3 linked regions of the Sus scrofa genome follow. The protein of the gene in region 1 purifies or fractionates together with the protein of each later gene. This does not show direct contact. Links are inferred from orthologs where the notes say so. Each region holds a gene or a part of one and is shown in the gene's direction. Other genes may lie near its edges. The genes, in order: MIA2, PREB and MIA3.

What was found.
Region 2: the proteins of MIA2 (region 1) and PREB purify together in Homo sapiens (affinity purification with western blotting; 3 studies listed by BioGRID and IntAct, with this or other methods). This does not show direct contact. The link is inferred for Sus scrofa from reciprocal best matches to the Homo sapiens genes MIA2 and PREB.
Region 3: the proteins of MIA2 (region 1) and MIA3 purify together in Homo sapiens (affinity purification with western blotting; 6 studies listed by BioGRID and IntAct, counting the BioPlex papers as one, with this or other methods). This does not show direct contact. The link is inferred for Sus scrofa from reciprocal best matches to the Homo sapiens genes MIA2 and MIA3.

The regions. Positions count from the first base shown.
Region 1 is NC_010443.5:169,775,621-169,781,715, forward strand, and holds the start of MIA2 (melanoma inhibitory activity protein 2), read left to right. Parts: upstream 1-1,972; 5' UTR 1,973-2,192; coding exon 2,193-2,307; intron 2,308-3,984; coding exon 3,985-4,118; intron 4,119-6,095. UniProt on the Homo sapiens protein: Plays a role in the transport of cargos that are too large to fit into COPII-coated vesicles and require specific mechanisms to be incorporated into membrane-bound carriers and exported from the endoplasmic reticulum.
Region 2 is NC_010445.4:111,990,149-111,996,350, forward strand, and holds PREB (prolactin regulatory element-binding protein), read left to right. Parts: upstream 1-2,215; 5' UTR 2,216-2,445; coding exon 2,446-2,580; intron 2,581-3,157; coding exon 3,158-3,350; intron 3,351-3,540; coding exon 3,541-3,761; intron 3,762-3,946; coding exon 3,947-4,027; intron 4,028-4,125; coding exon 4,126-4,250; intron 4,251-4,428; coding exon 4,429-4,602; intron 4,603-4,736; coding exon 4,737-4,809; intron 4,810-4,985; coding exon 4,986-5,145; intron 5,146-5,315; coding exon 5,316-5,410; 3' UTR 5,411-6,046; downstream 6,047-6,202. Other genes in the region: PRR30 (proline-rich protein 30), read left to right, coding at 1-420; protein ABHD1, read right to left, coding at 6,058-6,202.
Region 3 is NC_010452.4:11,375,795-11,381,691, forward strand, and holds the start of MIA3 (melanoma inhibitory activity protein 3), read left to right. Parts: upstream 1-2,098; 5' UTR 2,099-2,126; coding exon 2,127-2,259; intron 2,260-5,344; coding exon 5,345-5,478; intron 5,479-5,897.

The DNA.
Region 1 (6,095 bases):
TGCAGCCTACACCACAGCTCACAGCAATGCCGGATCCTTAACCCACTGAGCAAGGCCAGGGATCGAACCCACAACCTCATGGTTCCTAGTTGGATTCATTTCCACTATGCCACGAAGGGAACTCCAGCTATAAAATTTTAAATATTGAATACAAAAGGATAAAATGCATTAATTATTAAATATTCTTGACTTAATATAGACTATGTAAATAATTCTGTGCCAAAATTTGATGCTGAAGAGCTAATCCTTCTTTAATGTCTTTGACAACATAGTTTATTGATTTGTAAAAGTATTTAAGAAACAAACCTACACCTTTTTGAGTGTGCATGTGTTCAGTTCTGCAAATGAAAGGATCCTCAAACTCACTCTCTATCAGATTCTTTCTAAGGATGTAAAAATCTTTGCTCTCAGAGAGAAGGCTTCCTACTAATTATTGGTTCTGGAAAACAGAAAACACACTTCCTTTTTTTAGGATTTTGAAAGCAGCTGTCTTTCACTTTAACTCCCTCAGGCACTAGAGGGGAGTGTGGTGTTGCATAAGTGCTGCATTAGGCAAAGTACTCATACGCGGGCACGCCCAGACACTGGGGAAAGGTACAGCAAAGAAGAGCTTAGAAAAATATTTTCTCATGATTGAAACAGGACAACTTTAGTTTCCAAAAATCTACCTCAGTCTAGTAGATTTTACACAAAAATTCCCAATATAGGATTTGATCCCTTTTAAGCAACAATATCATTCAAATAATTTGACTTTCATAAACTTATCGTTATTTTTAAATGATATATCTCACTGATTTTTTTTATTACTCAAATGAATTTATCAACACTGTTTTTTTTTAAGTGAAACAATATAGAAAAGTGCAAAGAATAAAGTGAATACAATTTGAATTTACAGGATATATTCCCACCATATGGAGGAGGATTGTTTCAGACATCTCTCTCAATGTCTATGTCCAGAAATACACATCCAATTTTAAATACATAAAATGATATTGTATCTGCTGTTTCTAGAATAGTATTATTGCAGACAGAGTAGACATCTTTCTGTGGCAGATGACTTGATTCTTCGTGGTAAGAAATAGTGGTTGTGAGTTGTAGTAATCACAGAACTTAGATTTAAATTTCTTTCCCTTTCACTATGTGACTTTGGGCAAGTGATTTGACCTATCTCTATGTAACTCAGTCTCCTTATAATGCAAAAAAAGGGGATGATAATATTACCTACCTCCGAGAGTTGACCTGAGAGTAGAATCAGATCACATAATTGTTAAAGATGGTACCTGGAACATAATAAGTACTTCATATATTTTAACTATTATTCTTAAATGAAAAACAAGGGTCTACTTCATAGCAACATTGAAGGTTTTCAAAATATGAAAGTGGGGAGTTCTCATCGTGGTGCAGCAGAAATGAACCCAATTAGGAACCATGATGCTGCAAGTTTGATCCCTGGCCTTGCTCAGTGGGTTAAGGATCTGGTGTTGCTGTCAGCTGTGGTGTAGGTTGCAGTCGTGGCTCAGATTTGGCATTGCTGTGGATCTGGCATAGGCCGGCGGCTACAGCTCCGATTAGACCCTGAGCCTGGGAACCTCCATATTCACGGGTGCAGCCCTAAAAAAAATAATGATAATCAAAATATATGAAAGTGGGATATTTCTTCAAATAACTTTCATTATGATATTCCAAAACCATTATTACTTATTACCATAAGTACATTATTGCTTCTACGTATAACTATGCCTCCACTGACGCTGGTATTTGCATGTAGCAGATACTGTGTACTTCTTGACTGAACTACCTGAAGGCTTTAACTGAAGGAGATGAACTACCTTTTTGTGGAGGCCTGTGTAAGAATTGTTCTGTGGAACACAAGGTGTTTTTAAGCAGAGTTTTATGTGGGCTGGCTTTATAAGACATGACTCCAACTAAAAATCCCTGTTAATGATTAAACCCTTATGTATAATCTGGATACCTGACTCTGCAGATAGTGCAGATTGAGAACAGAGGCTGTTTGTCCCTCAAGTTAAGCCTAAATACCGATAGAAAAATGTAGTTATTGAGGGATTTAAAAAAATTCAAATCTTTTCTTCTCATATTTAGTAAAGACAGTGGGCTGCTTCCTGGTTTTGGCTGGCATATCTACTGCCTAAACAATCCCTTTAAACCTTGTTTGGATCCCTGCTTGTTTTAGCATGGCGGAGCTTGGAATTCACAGAATCCTTCTTTTGGTTATTTCTCTGACTAAGTGTCTGGAGGGCACAAAACGGCTGGCAGACTTTAAAAAATGTGGTGACTTGGAATGTGAAAGTAAGTTGCTTTTCTTTTTTTTCCCTTCTTTTCCTCTTAAATTGAGAATCCGAAATGATATAAAATGTTATTGTGGACATGTATAATAAAAATGAACAATAATATCTTTGGGAAGTATTTATCATTTTAAAATATAGTTCACTCAAAAGGGAAATTCTGGAAGCAAGCATTTCGTGATAGCTTTTAATGTAAATATACAAAGGGGCAAAGATTGACCTGGTATATAAATATACCAGAAATTATAATGATATAATCCAGATCTCAAAAATAAACTAATTAGCACTTTACTATTTTTAAGATAAATGTAATTGATATGTATTAAAAAAGATATCAAACCTTTTGATGGTTATTTTTATGAAGCCCTTATATTTTTTTAGTTTCTATTTCACAATCAGAAGTTTCTGAGTCTCATGAATCTTCTAATACCATTTTTATTTCAAGCCATCATGATTTATTATCTAAATTATTTTATCAAACATTAATCATTTCTTTGTTCACAATATGCAAAAATATTGAGATCAGTGTTAGGCGTACATAATCTTATGTATCCTTGAATATTAAACCTCTATCTTCTACAAAGAGAAATTAATTTTCATTCTATTGCTTAAGAACTTATTTTCTGAAATTAGCGTTATGGTACAAAAAATGAATAGCAACCCAATATATTAGAGTTGCTTTAAATATGTTCCATCTCTCCACTGTGTGAGAATTATTTCTAATTTGTAACATGTAAGTAAAAATGAAAAATATCATTAGTATAAACAAATAATTTAAAAGTAAATTTTTTATGAGTAAACATTTTCATTAATCGTTTGGAAATGTAATTTAACATATAGAGAAGGTTTACTCAATGATGTTTTATAATAATAATAATAACAACAATGATCTCTCTTTTCCTCTTTACAACCTCATATTAGTTTCCTTAGGGCCAGGCACAGAACATGGAAAGAGAACCTTCAAATGTATAGTAATTGATAATGTTATTTTAACTTTAATTGCATGACAAAATGTTTTAATATGTCAGTATAATTATAATGGTTAATATGATATGTGTATTATGTGTTGAAGGAATCTGTTTAGTATATGTGGTTATGATTATTCACAGTTATTAAAGGCCTATTATGTGCTGGGTCAGGGAAATAAGGGGTTTGTATTTAAGAAGAATAAAATGAAATATGAGATAAGTTTCTTGTCCTCCAAGTATTTTCAATCTAGTGGATGATGACAAGACAGGTCAATATGAAAAATAAATAGTGATACAACGTAAGGATAATAGGTAATATTGAAATTCAGAGAAGAGGCAGAGTAGCCTGGACCAATTAGGGATGAATCATAGGGATGTAGGTATGAGTTGTCCATCAAGAGAAATTGATGGGTTTCCAGAAGAGCTTAGGAAAAAACAGAAAGAAAAGCTCAGAATACATAAGGCAGATGTTGCAGTGAAATGAATTCCACACCATTTATTAGGTGTGTGATCAACTCTTTGAGATTTAAAGTTTCATTTGTTAGTATAAGATGAGATTATTAACCTCATAGACCTGTTTCGAGGGTTTATAATAACAATAATTAATGGAAGAGTTTGTCATGATGCCTGAAATATAATAGGTGCCTGGAAGAAAACTAATTATCTTTTCCTTCCCTTCCCTATTGTGTGTTTGTCTCTGCATGTTTACATAGCTTTAATAAGCAGAGTCTTAGCCATAAGAGATTACAGAGGACCTGACTGTCGGTATCTGAACTTCACTAAGGGAGAAGAGATATCTGTTTATATTAAACTCGCAGGAGAAAAGGAAGATTTGTGGGCAGGAAGTGTAAGTATCTAATCATATAAATTAAATACAGAGTAAATGACCAGCTTACCCAAAGATGCCTGGTTTTCATCTCTAAAGGAACTTTAAGAATTTCAAAGTGGGAGTCCCATTTTAGCTTAGCAGGTTACCAGCGAGGATCCATGAAGACATGAGTATGCAGATTCAATCCCTGGCCTGGCTTAGTGGGTTGGGAATCTGGCATTGCCGTGAGCTGTGGTGTATGTGGGTTTCAAATGCAGCTCAGATCCCATGTTGCTATGGCTGTGGCATAGGCTGGCAGCTGCAGCTCCAATTTGACCCCTAGCCTGGGAACTTCCATATGCTGCAGGTAAGACCCTAAAAAGCAAAAAAAAAAAAAAAAAAAAAAAAAAAAAAAAAAAAAAAAAAAGAAAAAGAAAAAGAAAAGAAAGAAAGAATTTCACAGTACTTTAAAATATATAAACATATTTAAACAAACAAAAACAGTCATGTTCAGTGTTGGTTCCTGAATTTCTATAAAAGTAGCCTTTGGGAAGCCAGTCTGGTCCGGATGAAGGCTTGAGAGTGCTTTGAAATTATTTTTATGTAGCATCCATAGGTTTTGAACTTTGATTTTATGTTTATTTAGAGGTGCCAATGGAGATACCAATGGCCACGTTTAAGAGAGGCTGGGACGTTTTTTGTTAATTAAATTAAAAGACATGTCTTTCTGTAAACCAGCTATAATGGAAAAAATAAAAATCATTAAAAAAAAAAGACATGTCTTTCTGAGCAAATAACAAACTGAGTTGCTCTTGAAGAGATCCTCAGAAAGATTAGTAGTCTAGGGAGGTGAGTTGTACAAATGTTTCATTTAAAGAAAAATCTTTCTTTCAAAAAGAAAAACAGAGAGATTTTATTTGGCCCAAAGTACTATTACATTGAAATTCCTAAAAACCTGGATCATCTCTGAATATATAAGATAGGAAAATTAATGATTAATGTTTTCAGTTGAAAATAGGTTTGTGTTCTAGATTATATCATTATGCTTTAGAATGAAAGGATGCCATGACAAACGATCTTACTCCCAGGTTGAACAAACATGACCAGCCTGGTACATACATCATTTCCATATTGTGTATGCATAAGATCTCTTTCTTGTGCAGCATCTGTGATCTTTGTTTGCAGAAGCAGATTCTATTTGGGGTCTACCCTGCGTTTTAGCATCAGGCGCTATATGACTGAACTTCTGATGGTTCTTGGCCAGAATTGTTTGCCTGGACTTTGCAGCTCCCAAGATTTCTTATTGTTTGTGGTGCTTCAAACATGACATTTCTGTCTTGAATGCATGACTGTACTGAATGCAGCTATAAGAAAAATGACACAGGAGTTCCCGTCGTGGCACAGTGGTTAACGAACCCGACTAGCATCCATGAGGTTGTGGGTTCGATCCCTGCCCTTGCTCATTGGGTTTAGGATCCGGTGTTGCCGTGAGCTGTGGTGTAGGTCGCAGACGTGGCGAGGATTCTGCGTTGCTGTGGCTCTGGCGTAGGCTGGCAGCTACAGCTCTGATTCGACCCCTAGCCTGGGAACCTCCATGTGCCACAAGAGTTGCCCAAGAAATGGCAAAAAGACAAAAAAGAAAGAAAGAAAGAAAGAAAGAAAGAAAGAAAGAAAGAAAGAAAGAAAGAAAGAAAGAGAAAGAAAGAAAGAAAGAAAAATGACACAGTAGGTATCCTAAGAAGAAAAGAAAACATTATTTCTTGTTTACATGTGTGAAAATGATAGTTTTGCACAAAAGCATGGTGTAATATGTCGAGCTGGGGTGAAGTTTTAAGTACAGTAGGTTTTGTGTATTAAGTGTTTAGTCAGGCAGATAACTGTTTAAGAAGTCACACTGTGGAGTTCACACTGTTGGTTTCCAAATAGTTGCAGCAACTGGAGAGCTGGAAGAATCCCAGTTGAGGTGTAATAGTGCTGGATCAAAGGACCAAAAAAATATGTTCTTTACACTTTGAC
Region 2 (6,202 bases), on another chromosome or scaffold:
AGGCTGCTTGCTTTCCCCCAGCTACTGCCCTGTGCACCGGGCCAGGAATCCGGACCACTCCGCATAGGCATTGGCTTTGGCCTTCGTCTGCCTCGGGGCCAGGCCAGGGCCTTGCACCTGTTGCCAGAAAGAAGGCCGGAGGAAGTAGGGTCTCAGGGCGAGGCTGCTCAGGCCCGTGGGTGTCAAGCCCAGGCATCTCAGGCCCTAGCAGCTCAGGCCCGGGCAGACCTAGGCCCAGGAACCCCCTCCCAGCCCGGGAGCCTCAGGTCTGTAGGCCCTCAATCACCAAACTCCATGCAGTTTTCAGGGTCTCCAACTCAGGCACCCAAACAGGCCACTGTCTGCCTGAAGCCCAGGCCTTATTCTGCCCCAAAGAGGCCTGCCTCTCCAGAACCCATTCACGGAAGGCCACCACCCTAATTCTGGACCCACGGAGGCTCCCTGGAGTGCCTCCTCTGAACCCCATGGTCCCTGCCAGGCCCCAGATCTCAGGGAGCCCCCAAAACACTCTGAAGGGCTGGCTGGCTGGAGCTCAGGTGTGTTCTCCAGTCCTGAACCCTGGAAGCCCCTTGTGGAGTCTGCTCTCTCCTGGCTGAAGGGGACCAAGCGCTCCTGAGGCCCCACTCAGCCTTCAGTGAATCCAATAAAGCCTGACCCTGCAACACTGGTTCTTGTGTCTTGCTGAGCAGATACAGTGCAGGAGGGCTCTACCTTCAGGGGGACCAGAACCCAACAAGGGGTGGGGGAAGAGTCAAAGGAAAACAGAAGGGCCAGGGAGAGTGGATGCCATGAACCTGAGGAGGGCAAGGGACCCACATGGATCTGAGATGTGCAGAGGGCTCTGTCAGGCCCTTCACACAATTCAATTCGGTGGACAGATAATAGCATCCTTAGAGATGAAGCCACTGGGCCCCCTCCTCTCACTGCACCTTAGGTTGTAAGGACTCAGGCCCATGTGGCCAGGGGAGCAGCAGGAGGGGACTCCTTGCAGGGAAGGGCAGGCCTAGCGTTCACACGAAGAAACATAGCACCCTTGAGGCAGAATGTTAACTCAGGTAGTCAGTGTAGGAGCATGGGCTTCCACGCATTCTGTGATATTAACATGTGTGGCTTAAGGGCTCCAGGGAGTAACATCCCCACAGCCCTTGTTTATTATAGGGAATGTACCTACCCCCAGATGGACATTAATCCCTAATCCCCCGTGACTCAGTTTACGGAAAGAAGAGGACAAAGAAACTCTGAGACTCACGGGACATTTCCATCCCTAGGACCCTATTGGACAAGGACTGACATACATAACTAAGCAAGGCCAATGGGAGAAGACCACATCTCTCTGGGCCCCACCTTGGTACCCCCCCAACTTTAAGGAATAAAACCCCCTATAGGACAATAGAGAAAGGGGGCTCCTCTCCCCCCTCCCAGCAACCCTGGGAGCGATCTACCTGCCTTTAATAAAAACTTTGCTTGCTTGCTGCCTGTGTGTTCGCAGAGTTCATTCTTTGACTGCCGTGAACAAGAACCCCGATTCGGGTATCATCTTTCTGGCATCACCTTCACTACCGTGATCAGAAACCCCAGAGACCCCTCGGAAGGGTAGGGGGCCAGGCCAAAACCTGCCCTGCCTGGTGGTCGAGTGGCCGCCCTCTGAGGGTATCAGAGGGGAGCAGCCCCCACCCACAAACCCCCAGCCGGAGGAGCAGGTGCAGAGCCTTCAGAATGGCCAGCACCCACCTCCGCCAAGGAAGAGGGCCGGTGTTGTTAGGGCAGGGAGCGGTTTTCTCATAACAGAAAGCGGTGGATTCCATGTTTGAAGCCAGGTCTGTTTTTAAAGTCCACGCTGCCTCGGTTAAGAGGCAGGGGACACAAGTCACATTTCCGGAGTGTGACCTGGGACAAAGACTTCATCTCGGGGGTAAAACGCAGAGGCTGCGCTTGACGAGTCTGCGTGTCACTCCTGAGGTGTGGACTGTCCTGATTCAAGAATTTCTTTATTGAAGGTTTATTCACGTCCCTGAACCTTTATTAGCTTCCCCTGCTGCTCCAGAACCACCAAAGATGCTTCCGTGAGGCGGGTACGTTCCCGCAAAAAGATGGCGGAACCCGTCGTCCCAACGCGGGCGGAGAACGGAATCCCGGCGCGGAGGTTCCGCCTGCCCGCGGCCGGCTAGTGCTGACGCGTATGGGCCGCCCTGCGCCTGCGCGGGGAGAGCGGGCTCGCTGCGCTTGCGCACTGCGCGTTGGCGAGACCGGGTTTGCCGGCCCGGGGCAGTGACAGGGATCCTTGTGTGTGGTTACGGTTTCGGCTTCCCGGTGGCAGGGAGAGGGGTCTGGGGTCCTCTGGCGGCCACAGGACCGACGTCAGCCGCGGCCGGAACCACAGTCGAAGGCCGGGCGCGGCATGTCCCGGGTGCCTCGACGCAGGCAGTGAGGCGCGCGGCGAGCGGGATGGGTCGACGCCGGGCGCCAGAGCTGTACCGGGCCCCGTTCCCGTTGTACGCGCTTCAGGTCGAGCCAAGCGCGGGGCTGCTCATCGCGGCGGGCGGAGGAGGTGCTGCCAAGACCGGTATAAAGAACGGCGTGGTGAGAGTACAGGGCCCCTGGGGCCGGGTCGCGCGCCGCGGGCTCAGGGCGATTCTGGGAGGGTCTCGGGGGCGGGCCGCACTCTTGCTTCGGACCCTTCCTCTCTCTCGGGTGGGAATGCTGGGCTTGCCGGGCGTCCCGGCGCGAGTTTCAGTCGAGAACTCGCTCACCGGTCAATTGAAAGACTCCTAAGGTAAAGTGAAAGCTGCACATAGCGCTGCCTAGGCAGGAACCTTTCGACTCAACCTCAGGCTCAGTTCTAGGGGTCTTATCCCGGCTTTTTCCAGGGTGGCCACCTGGGCTTGTCTGTCTGCCCTCTAGCAGCGGCGAGAGTGCAGCATAAACTAAGTGTTTTCACTTTTCTGGGCGTCAGCCTATTGTTCTGCAAACTAGAGGTGACCAGCCAACCTTGCTTGCTGTCCAGCCTCGTGAGGCTCAAAAAAAAAAAAAAAAAAAGTTGGAAAAAGTTTTGAAGTAGAAGGTGCAGTAAGCAAGGGGTAGGGCATCAGACCATAAGAGGAAAGTTGGCCTCGAGGTGCCCTCTGAGCCTTGCTCACCCTGGTTCCCTCTCCCACAGCACTTTCTGCAGCTAGAGCGGATTCATGGGCACCTCAGTGCCTCTCTGCTCCACTCCCATGACACGGAGACTCGCGCCACCATGAACTTGGCGCTGGCTGGCAACATCCTTGCTGCAGGGCAGGATGCCCGCTGTCAGCTCTTGCGCTTCCAGACCCAACAGCAGAAGGGCAAAAACAAGGCAGAGAAGGCAGGTGAGAGCCCCCTCTCTAGCTTTGGGCAAAGGGTTAAGTAAGATCTCTTTCGCCTTGGTCTCTGAAGAAGTGGGGGCTGGAGGCAGGGTTATGGTAGCAGAGGCCAGAAGCTCGAGGGTCACCCCTGGAGAGGGGGACCGGTTCCGCTTACTCCAGAAGCGTGGAACGTGGCAGGTTGTTTGTGTTGCAGCTTCCAAGGAGCAGGGGCCTCGACAGAGGAAAGGGGCTGCCCCAGCAGAGAAGAAGTCTGGAGCTGAAACCCACCAGGAGGGGTTAGAATTCAGCGTAGAGAATTTGCAGGCCGTGCAGACAGACTTCAGCCCTGACCCACTGCAGAAAGTTGTACGCTTCAACCATGATGCTACCCTGCTTGCCACTGGAGGGACAGATGGCTACGTTCGTGTCTGGAAGGTGTGTGGTTTGGGGAGGTCACAGGGTGTTAGTAGTGGCAGAGCCAGAATTGTGAGAAACTGAACACGGGTGCCGGGAGACCTGTGAGCGAAGCCCGCCCTGAGCGGCCGTAGCAGGGAAGGTGGCGGGGCTCATTGCACTCTTCCCGAGTACCGAGGCTAACTAGGCTGGTGGTTTGGCGGCAGGTCCCCACCTTGGAGAAAGTTTTGGAGTTCCGGGCCCATGAAGGAGAGATTGAGGACCTGGCTGTGGGGCCCGACGGCAAGGTGAGGTGGTGAGGGGTGGAGAAAGCAGGCGGGTGTGCTGCTTGTCCAGGAGGTGGATCCCCTAACCATCCGTCCTTGGAATCTTGATTCCTGACCAGTTGGTTACTGTGGGCCGGGACCTTAAGGCCTCTGTGTGGCAGAAGGATCAGCTGGTGACCCAGCTGCACTGGCAAGAGAACGGACCCACCTTTTCTAACACGCCTTACCGCTACCAGGCCTGCAGGTGTGCAGACCCCAGAGGGGGCTGGAAGAGGCTCTGCTTAGAGGTGGCGGGGGCATGGGAAAGGGCGGGGGCCAGCTGGGGAGGATCGGAGCCTTGTCGGGTGTTACCCCAGGCCTGACCAGGGTGTGGGAGGGCACAGACCTCTGAGGAGCTGAACAGCCTCTCCCCCGGCCACCAGGTTCGGGCCAGTTCCAGACCAGCCTGCCGGGCTGCGGCTCTTCACAGTGCAGATTCCCCACAAGCGTCTGCGCCAGCCCCCACCCTGCTACCTCACAGCCTGGGATGGCTCCACGTTCTTACCCCTTCGGACCAGGTCCTGTGGCCATGAAGTCATCTCCTGCCTCAGTGTCAGGTGTGAGACAGTGGTGGCTTGGCTGGGTGTGGGGGTGCCTGGGAGAGCTCGGGGAGCGGGGCCACCCCAGTCCCTGAGGACCGTTGTTGCCGCGCAGGACTCCAGGACAGTGAGCACTTTATTGTTTGTTGCAGTGAATCGGGCACCTTCCTGGGCCTGGGCACGGTCACTGGCTCTGTTGCCATCTACATAGCTTTCTCCCTCCAGGTAATGGGGTGGTGGGCACAGCCCCGAGGGCTCTTTGAGGTGGGGATTCTAGGCCTGCATCTACACGGAATGTGCAGGGAGGATCCTGGCCGGGCCTATAGGGGCCAAGTCTTCTGGGGGTAGAGGGTGTGTTTTCCGGAAGGAATGTTCCCAGCTGGGCCTTCCCCTGTCTCCAGCGCCTGTACTATGTGAAGGAGGCCCATGGCATTGTGGTGACGGATGTGGCCTTTCTACCTGAGAAGGGGCGTGGTCCAGAGCTCCTTGGGTCCCACGAAACTGCTCTGTTCTCTGTGGCTGTGGATAGTCGTTGCCAGCTACACCTGCTGCCCTCACGACGTGAGTCACTGGGTGGGCCGGGGCAGCCCACCTTTAGCTGCAGCAAAGACTTGCCGGCTGGAGAACTGGCTGCTCGATGGTAGCCATCTCTCCGCTCCTTGAATGGTTCAGTTTCTCAGGCTGTGGGGCCCCTTTTGGCCTCCTGACTTCTTCCCCTCCCCCTCCTGCAGGGAGTGTTCCTGTGTGGCTGCTGCTGCTGCTGTGTGTCGGGCTTATTGTTATGACCATCCTGCTGCTCCAGAGTGCCTTTCCAGGTTTTCTTTAGCCTCCTTGCTCCCAGAGAACCAGGGGCCTGGGCACTGCCACCTCTAGACCAGAGTGGAGGCCTGGACCCCACTGCTCACTCCACTGGGGCCCACAGCTGAGGTTGCCTCTGATGAGACTACTGGGCAATGCCTGCCCTTCCCAGTTAAAGTTTGGCTGTGGCCTCGTGCGACCCTGAGTTCTGGGAACCTTGTATTCATCATCTGTGGATCCGCCCAGGACCGTGGTGTCCTTCTTCCCTCTACCTACCAGAGGCTCCAAGGTGGGGCTTGTCCTTCCCCCAGAAATATGTGAAGATGCCCAAGAACTTGGAGGCACTGCTGTCCTTCCTGCCGAAAGCCGTTTTCTCCTGCTCCCCGCACAGCCTCGTGGCCGGCTGCTCTCCACAGGAGCCCCTCCCATTTGCTGGGGCAGCCCCTGGCCTGGGACTTGCTCTTAGGGAAGAAAGGAGTCAGAGGAAGACCCAAGCAGTACTCTTTGCATTCAGCTGGGCAGCGCCAAGCCAGCCGAGCTCAATATGCAGTATGTTCCTGGACAGGCTAGCTTAGCCTTGAGCCAAGGGAAAATGAACCTCAGCCCATTTGGCAGGAAACGGTAATATTTAATAAACAAGGGAAAACTGAACTGATGCCCCAAATGGTACTCTTGTCAGCTCTTGCCTCCCTCAGAAAGTGTGGGCACCCTGAGGCTGAGCAGCTCCTCCGGGTGCTGGAAGATGGCCCTGGCATATTGATGCAAGAGGCGGCTCATGTAGCAGTGCTTCCAGGGGAGCAGCCCTTCCAGGAAGCCGATG
Region 3 (5,897 bases), on another chromosome or scaffold:
CTGGACATTGTAAGTCATCTAGCGCAACAAAAGGTTGTTTGGAGACAGGCAGGTAGACAGGAGACGGGGGCGGGGATTGCAAGGGAGCATGAGGACTCTTTGGGGTGATGGAGAAGTTAGCTACCTTGATTCTAGTGCTGGTCTCATGAGTGTATACGTGTCAAAACTCATCCAATTGTCTACTCGGAATATGTGCAGTTTATTGTATGTAAATTCCAGCTCAGTAAAGCTATTCAAGTAAAGAGTACACAGGATTGTCTGATGGATTGGATGTGGCACGTGAGATAAAGAGGAATCCGGGGTGGTTTGTAAGTTACTGACTTGAACCCCTGGAAGACAGAATTAAAGGGCCCGTCATTGAAATAGGAAGGCTGAAAGGAGCACGGTTGGAGAGAGAAAATGAGAAATTGGATTTCCAACATACTAAGCTGAAGATGCATGTTAGAAACACCAAAGATTCCAAAGCAAGAAACACAGTAGAAAAGAAATGGAGAAACTCCTAAAGGCACTATTGCTTGGACAGTCACCTGACCCATTGTACATTCTCTCGAGACACCGTGGGACCAGTGGAGCATCTCATGACCCTGGAGATAAACAACTGTGAACATCTCCTTCTCACCTTTTCCTTTATTCAACATTATGGATTGCATGGACCTGCCACATTCTTTCACTTGCTTTTAAGGACTCCAGTTCGGGAAACCAACTAACAGATGCGATTGGCTCTCAGCATTGATGAATAGCCTTGACAGAGGCTATAGTGAGAAGCGCCAGGTCACAGACAAATGCAATGTACTCATCTTGGAAAATGAATGGTAATAGCACCAGCTATTGTGAAAATTAAACAAATTGCTACTACGTATGAAGACCTTAGAATGACATCTGGGCATAAAGAAAATGCTCAGGAAGTGTTTTTCCATTCTCTAACATTTATTTTTGTCTTTTTTTGGGGGGGATCTTTTTAGGGCCACTCTGGTGGCACATAGAGGTTCCCAGGCTAGGCGTTTAATCCGGGCTGCAGCCACAGGCCTACGCCACAGGCGCCACAGCCGCCACAGCCACAGCCACACCAGACTCAAGTGGCATCTGAGTTCTACACCACAGCTCACAGCAACGCTAGATCCTTAACCCACTGAGCGAGGCCAGGGATCAAAGCCCCGTCCTCATGGATACTAGTCAGATTTGTTTCTGCTGAGCCAGGACAGGAACTACTTAATCTTCAGTCCTTTTGATGTGAGTTGTTTTCCACTAAATTGTGGGCCTCTTTACACGAAGTCCAGATAGCTTGTCTGTTAACCCTACACCTTTCCGCTCATCATCCTGGAGCTTTGTCCAGCCTCTGTCCTAACGTGGTAGCCTGTAACGTAAGGGAAGCTCAACACATTTGCATTGAATTAAATTATTCTTCTGTTAGGATATAGACCCAAGAATCTGAAGACCTCAGCCTGGGGGACCCAGGGCCACTCCCATCTCCAGGGCTAGCAGGAGACGCGTGGGGAAAAAAAAAAAATAACTGAGCAGGCCACCGCTCTAATTTCCCTCAGAGTCACAGCTCCCTTTCCTAATTTGAGGGGATCATGGGATGGGGCCCCAAGAACGCCCTGGGAGTCAGAAGGAGGGGGATGCCGAACTGGACACCAGCAGTGGTAAATCGTGGGTGGGATCTGGTCCTTCGGGAAAGGAGGTACCAAACCAAGAAGGGATGGGGTGGTGACGGTGAGCCCCTTGGGGACCGACCAGAAATCTGAAGCTGCGAGAAGGGGTCAAGAAAGACTTGTTGGACCAGCGCGGGGGGAGGGGGGGCCCAAGGTCGGAGAGGGGCGCGAGACCCGTGGAATCTCGCCGAGGGTCCACTGCGTAGGGACAAGGGCACAGGCCGGCGATTGGACGAGGGAGGAGGTAGAATCCTGGTTGCCAAGGCAGCAGTCGGCCGCGAAGGCAGCAGTCGGCCGCGAAGGCCTAGGCGAGGAGGTGGGCGCGCTTGTCCTCCTCCGGCTTCTTTAGGACCCTCTCCGGCCATCCCCTCCCGAGACCGTGCTGACGTGTCGCTCGGGGCCCCACACCCCGGCGGGCGCCGCCCCGCCGCCCGCCTCCTCCTCCGCGTCACCCGCTCCGCGAGTGACCACAACATGGCTGCGGCGCCGGGGCTGCTGCTCTGGCTGCTCCTGCTCGGGCCGCCCTGGCCGGTGCCGGGCCAGCCGGAGCCGGCCCCCGGCCGGCGCTTCTCGCAGGACAAAGTCTGCGCGGACGAGGAATGCAGCAGTGAGTGCCCGGCGCGCGGGGAGGCGGGGGTCGCAGGGCGGTTGGGCGGAGCGCCGCGGGGGGCGAGCCGGGTCCCCGCTTCTGTCCCCTCCGGCCCTGCGGGCGCCCAGGCCGGCCGGCCCCGGCCGTGGGGGCTGCGCCTCCCACTTGTTGCCGGCATTTCATTTTTCTTTCGCTGACGGAGGCGGGGGTGGGCGGTCGGAGGTGGCCCCCGGTTTCCCAGGGCCGCCCCCAGGGTTCCTTCCCCGGGCTGCCCTGGCTCCGGCGAGCTGGGGTGGCGCGCCGAGCGTCCTGGGCTCCCACGCTGCATCCCAGCGCTCTCCTGCCCCCGCCGCGGGGACCTCGGAGAGTGCAGTCCGGGGGCAGATAGGCCAAGGGCTCAGGGGGCGTATTCCCTGCGCAGTGGCCAGTGGGGGCTCGGGAGAGGCTCCCTTCGCTCTTCTGCTTCCCACCGATTCGGGGCTCGGACGCCTTTCGAACTGGGACTGGAGTTTAGGCTTGGGACGAGCCCGGAGTCCAGGCGTGCTGTGTATTCCAAGGTCTCCGCCCCGGCTCTGCCTCGATCCTGTCATTTCTGTGCTTGGAAGGCTCTTCCTGCAAATAGCCAGGCGGGGGGGCGCCGGGAGGGCCAAAAGCTTGCGCTCTCGAAAGAGGCGGAGACTCTGCATCGGCCACCTGGGACCGGCAGCCTCCTCTTTGCGCAGGAAGCGGAATTGTTCCCCATTCGCGGATTGGGGATGGGGCGGGGGTGCCGCTGCTGGTGAGGAGCGCAGAGATTCCCCGGACTGAGAAGAAGAGGGTTGTTAAAGTAAAAATAATGCATGCTCCAGGGGTTTTATAAACCCAGCCAGCTTGAGCCTTAGTCACTTGTGTTTGGAGGCTCTTCCTGTGTGTTTGCAGGACCACTGCCGTCCTTGCGGCTTCCCAGTCCGTTTCAGATAACCTTGTAACGTACTGGTAACCACTTCGGAAACGCTTGTTCATATACTGTTGTCAGTACCTGGGGAACTGTTCATTCTGGAAAGGCCAGAGCCTACGGTTAGCTATTTATAGTGAAATGGGTGTTATTCCAGAAACAAATTGTATAATTTGAAGAGTTGTATCATTGCTCCACCACTCAAGAAAGGAGGCTTGCTTTGATTTGCGTTTAAGCCATTCCTAGAGGCAACCCTAGACCTGATGTAATAAATGCTGCAAAAGGGGCGCAACTTCCATGATTGTTTCCCTTCTTTTCTTGGAGTCAATCCAGGTTAGTAGCCAGCAGGGTTGGCAAAATATTTGCTGTTCTTTGCTTTCCAGCACTGGCCTGTCTGGTCCTCAACACCACTTACCTGGACAGTCGCTCTGTGTGGATGCTTCCTCAGTGTGGAAAGGCCACAGGGTGTTGGAAGGGCCCGTAGCTGTCACATAATTTGAGAAAATGGCATGAGTCCAAGCAGATGTAACCAAGCACAACAGGCTGCAGCCAGGCAGGGTCTGGGTCTGTGTTGTGTTGCATAAAGTGTTTATTTAGTAACGTGTGTGCGCGTGTGGGCTGTCCTTGTGTGCTTTTCAGATAGCTGTGTCACCGTGTGCAGTATGTTGTCATCTGATTTGTTATTATAAATCTGCAGTGATATCTTCCAAGGGTGAAATAAGAGAAACATTGCCATTTCTGATTCTGAGAGAATCCCAGCCTCTTTTTTTTTTTTTTTTTTTTTTTTTTTTTTTGCTTTTTTAGGGCTGTACCTGCTGCAATACGGAGGGTCCCAGGCTAGGGGTCGAATTGGAGCCGTAGTCGCCAGCCTACACCACAGCCACAGCAACGCAGGATCTGAGCCTCGTCTGCAACCTACACCACAGCTCATGGCAACCCGGGATCCTTAACTCACTGAGTGAGGCCAGGGATCAAACCTGCATTCTCAAGGGTGCTAGTCAGATTTGTTTCCACTGAGCCACAACAGGGAACTTCAAATCCCCAGTCTTAAATTGTCCATCACCTTCAACTTGGCCTCTCATCTATCTAATTATATCTGAATTAGGAGGCTGAAGTGTATTAAAATAATCAGATTTTAGCTTCAAAATCCAAATAACCCCCATGTTTATCCCTCAAATAACTTATTTAAAGATATGTTTTAATGTATCTTTTATTGCTGTTTAGCTTTTAGAAAAAGTGTTATTTCCGTTTCATCCTTTTTCTTTGCTATTTAATTGCATTTATTGTGCATTCCATATTACATTAGAAACTGTGTGTTTGGTCAACAAAAAGAAAAATACTGCTTCTACCAGTTCCTAGATCGCGTGTGATTTAAGGCCTGCATTTTAAGACTGAAGGTAACTACTAAACAGTTCTCGTCCTTACGCTCGTCCCTGCCACACATGATTGTGTTTCTAGAAACATAAGCCACTTGTCCACTTTGATTTTGTTTCTAGAAATAAACAAACCTTCTTACTGTTGAATATTGTCAGGCGTATATGCTTTCAGAAGATATTACTTTGTCCTATGATTGGGTCCATAACAGGATGTGATGTCCTTTCTCCTTAATTTAACCAGATGCTGTAAGGAGAGAGCAGCTTGGCTGCAAATGAAAGTGTTTACTGCTGCGCAGTTGCCATTTCAGCCACTTAAAGACAGGGCCTCTTCGTGCTTAGTTCAAGTTAATTGACCCCTTGGGGGGTTCTTGGGTGCTCTCCCCACCTACCTATTACCTTGACAGGTAGCCAGGCAGCATCTGTGATCCAATCTACCCAACTGCCGAATGAAGCTTTTCATGATGATTATGAAACAGCGAAGGCTGCAGACTGGATGGTTAGACAGGAAACTAAGAGATTCACTTGAGAGCAGCCACGCGTGGCAGTGGCCATTGCGTTTTGTTTCCCAGCCTTATCCGGGGAGAACAACGGGGGATGCTTTCCCTCCCCTGTCGTGATTCAGATTCCGTAAGGCTCTGGAGATGCTTGAGCGTGTGGATGGAAAGGGACTGGTTCCAGAGATTACAGGGGAAGCTCCCTGCTTGTTTACATCGTACGTTTCCTGATAAATCAGCAGAGACCACGGAAGTGGAATCCTGATTTCTGCTTCTTTCTTTTTCCCTTTTACATACAGTGTTAATGTACCGCGGCGAGGCTCTGGAAGATTTTACAGGACCGGATTGTCGCTTTGTGAATTTTAAAAAAGGTGACCCTGTATATGTCTACTATAAACTGGCAGGGGGATCACCTGAAGTTTGGGCTGGAAGTGTAAGTACCGCTTTGGCATGCTTTATTTTCTTCCTTTTCATTGGCTTGTTTAACACTCTAGATTGAAGTAACTTGTTTTCTGGGGGTCTTGGATGGCGTTAACTTGTTTTCTCTGCTAGACCGTGAAAACAGAGGGTGATTCTGTGTCCCCAGCCGGCACCAGGCTTGGCACACAGAGGAAGGGCTTCAACAGAACTGACTGCTTGTGGCTCTTGCACCTCAGCATCAAGTTCTAGGCCTTCCCAGCCCTGGCTGCCCCATACAGAGTCAAGGCTGAGATGGTGAAGCCTGAAGAGTAACTGCACTGTTTGCAGAAGGGGGGGTTCACGGGCATTAGACTTAATCTAGATGGTGTTTGAGGCGTTCCCATTTAGAGTTGATTTTACGTGTTTTTCTTTTCTTTTTTTTTTTTTTTTTGG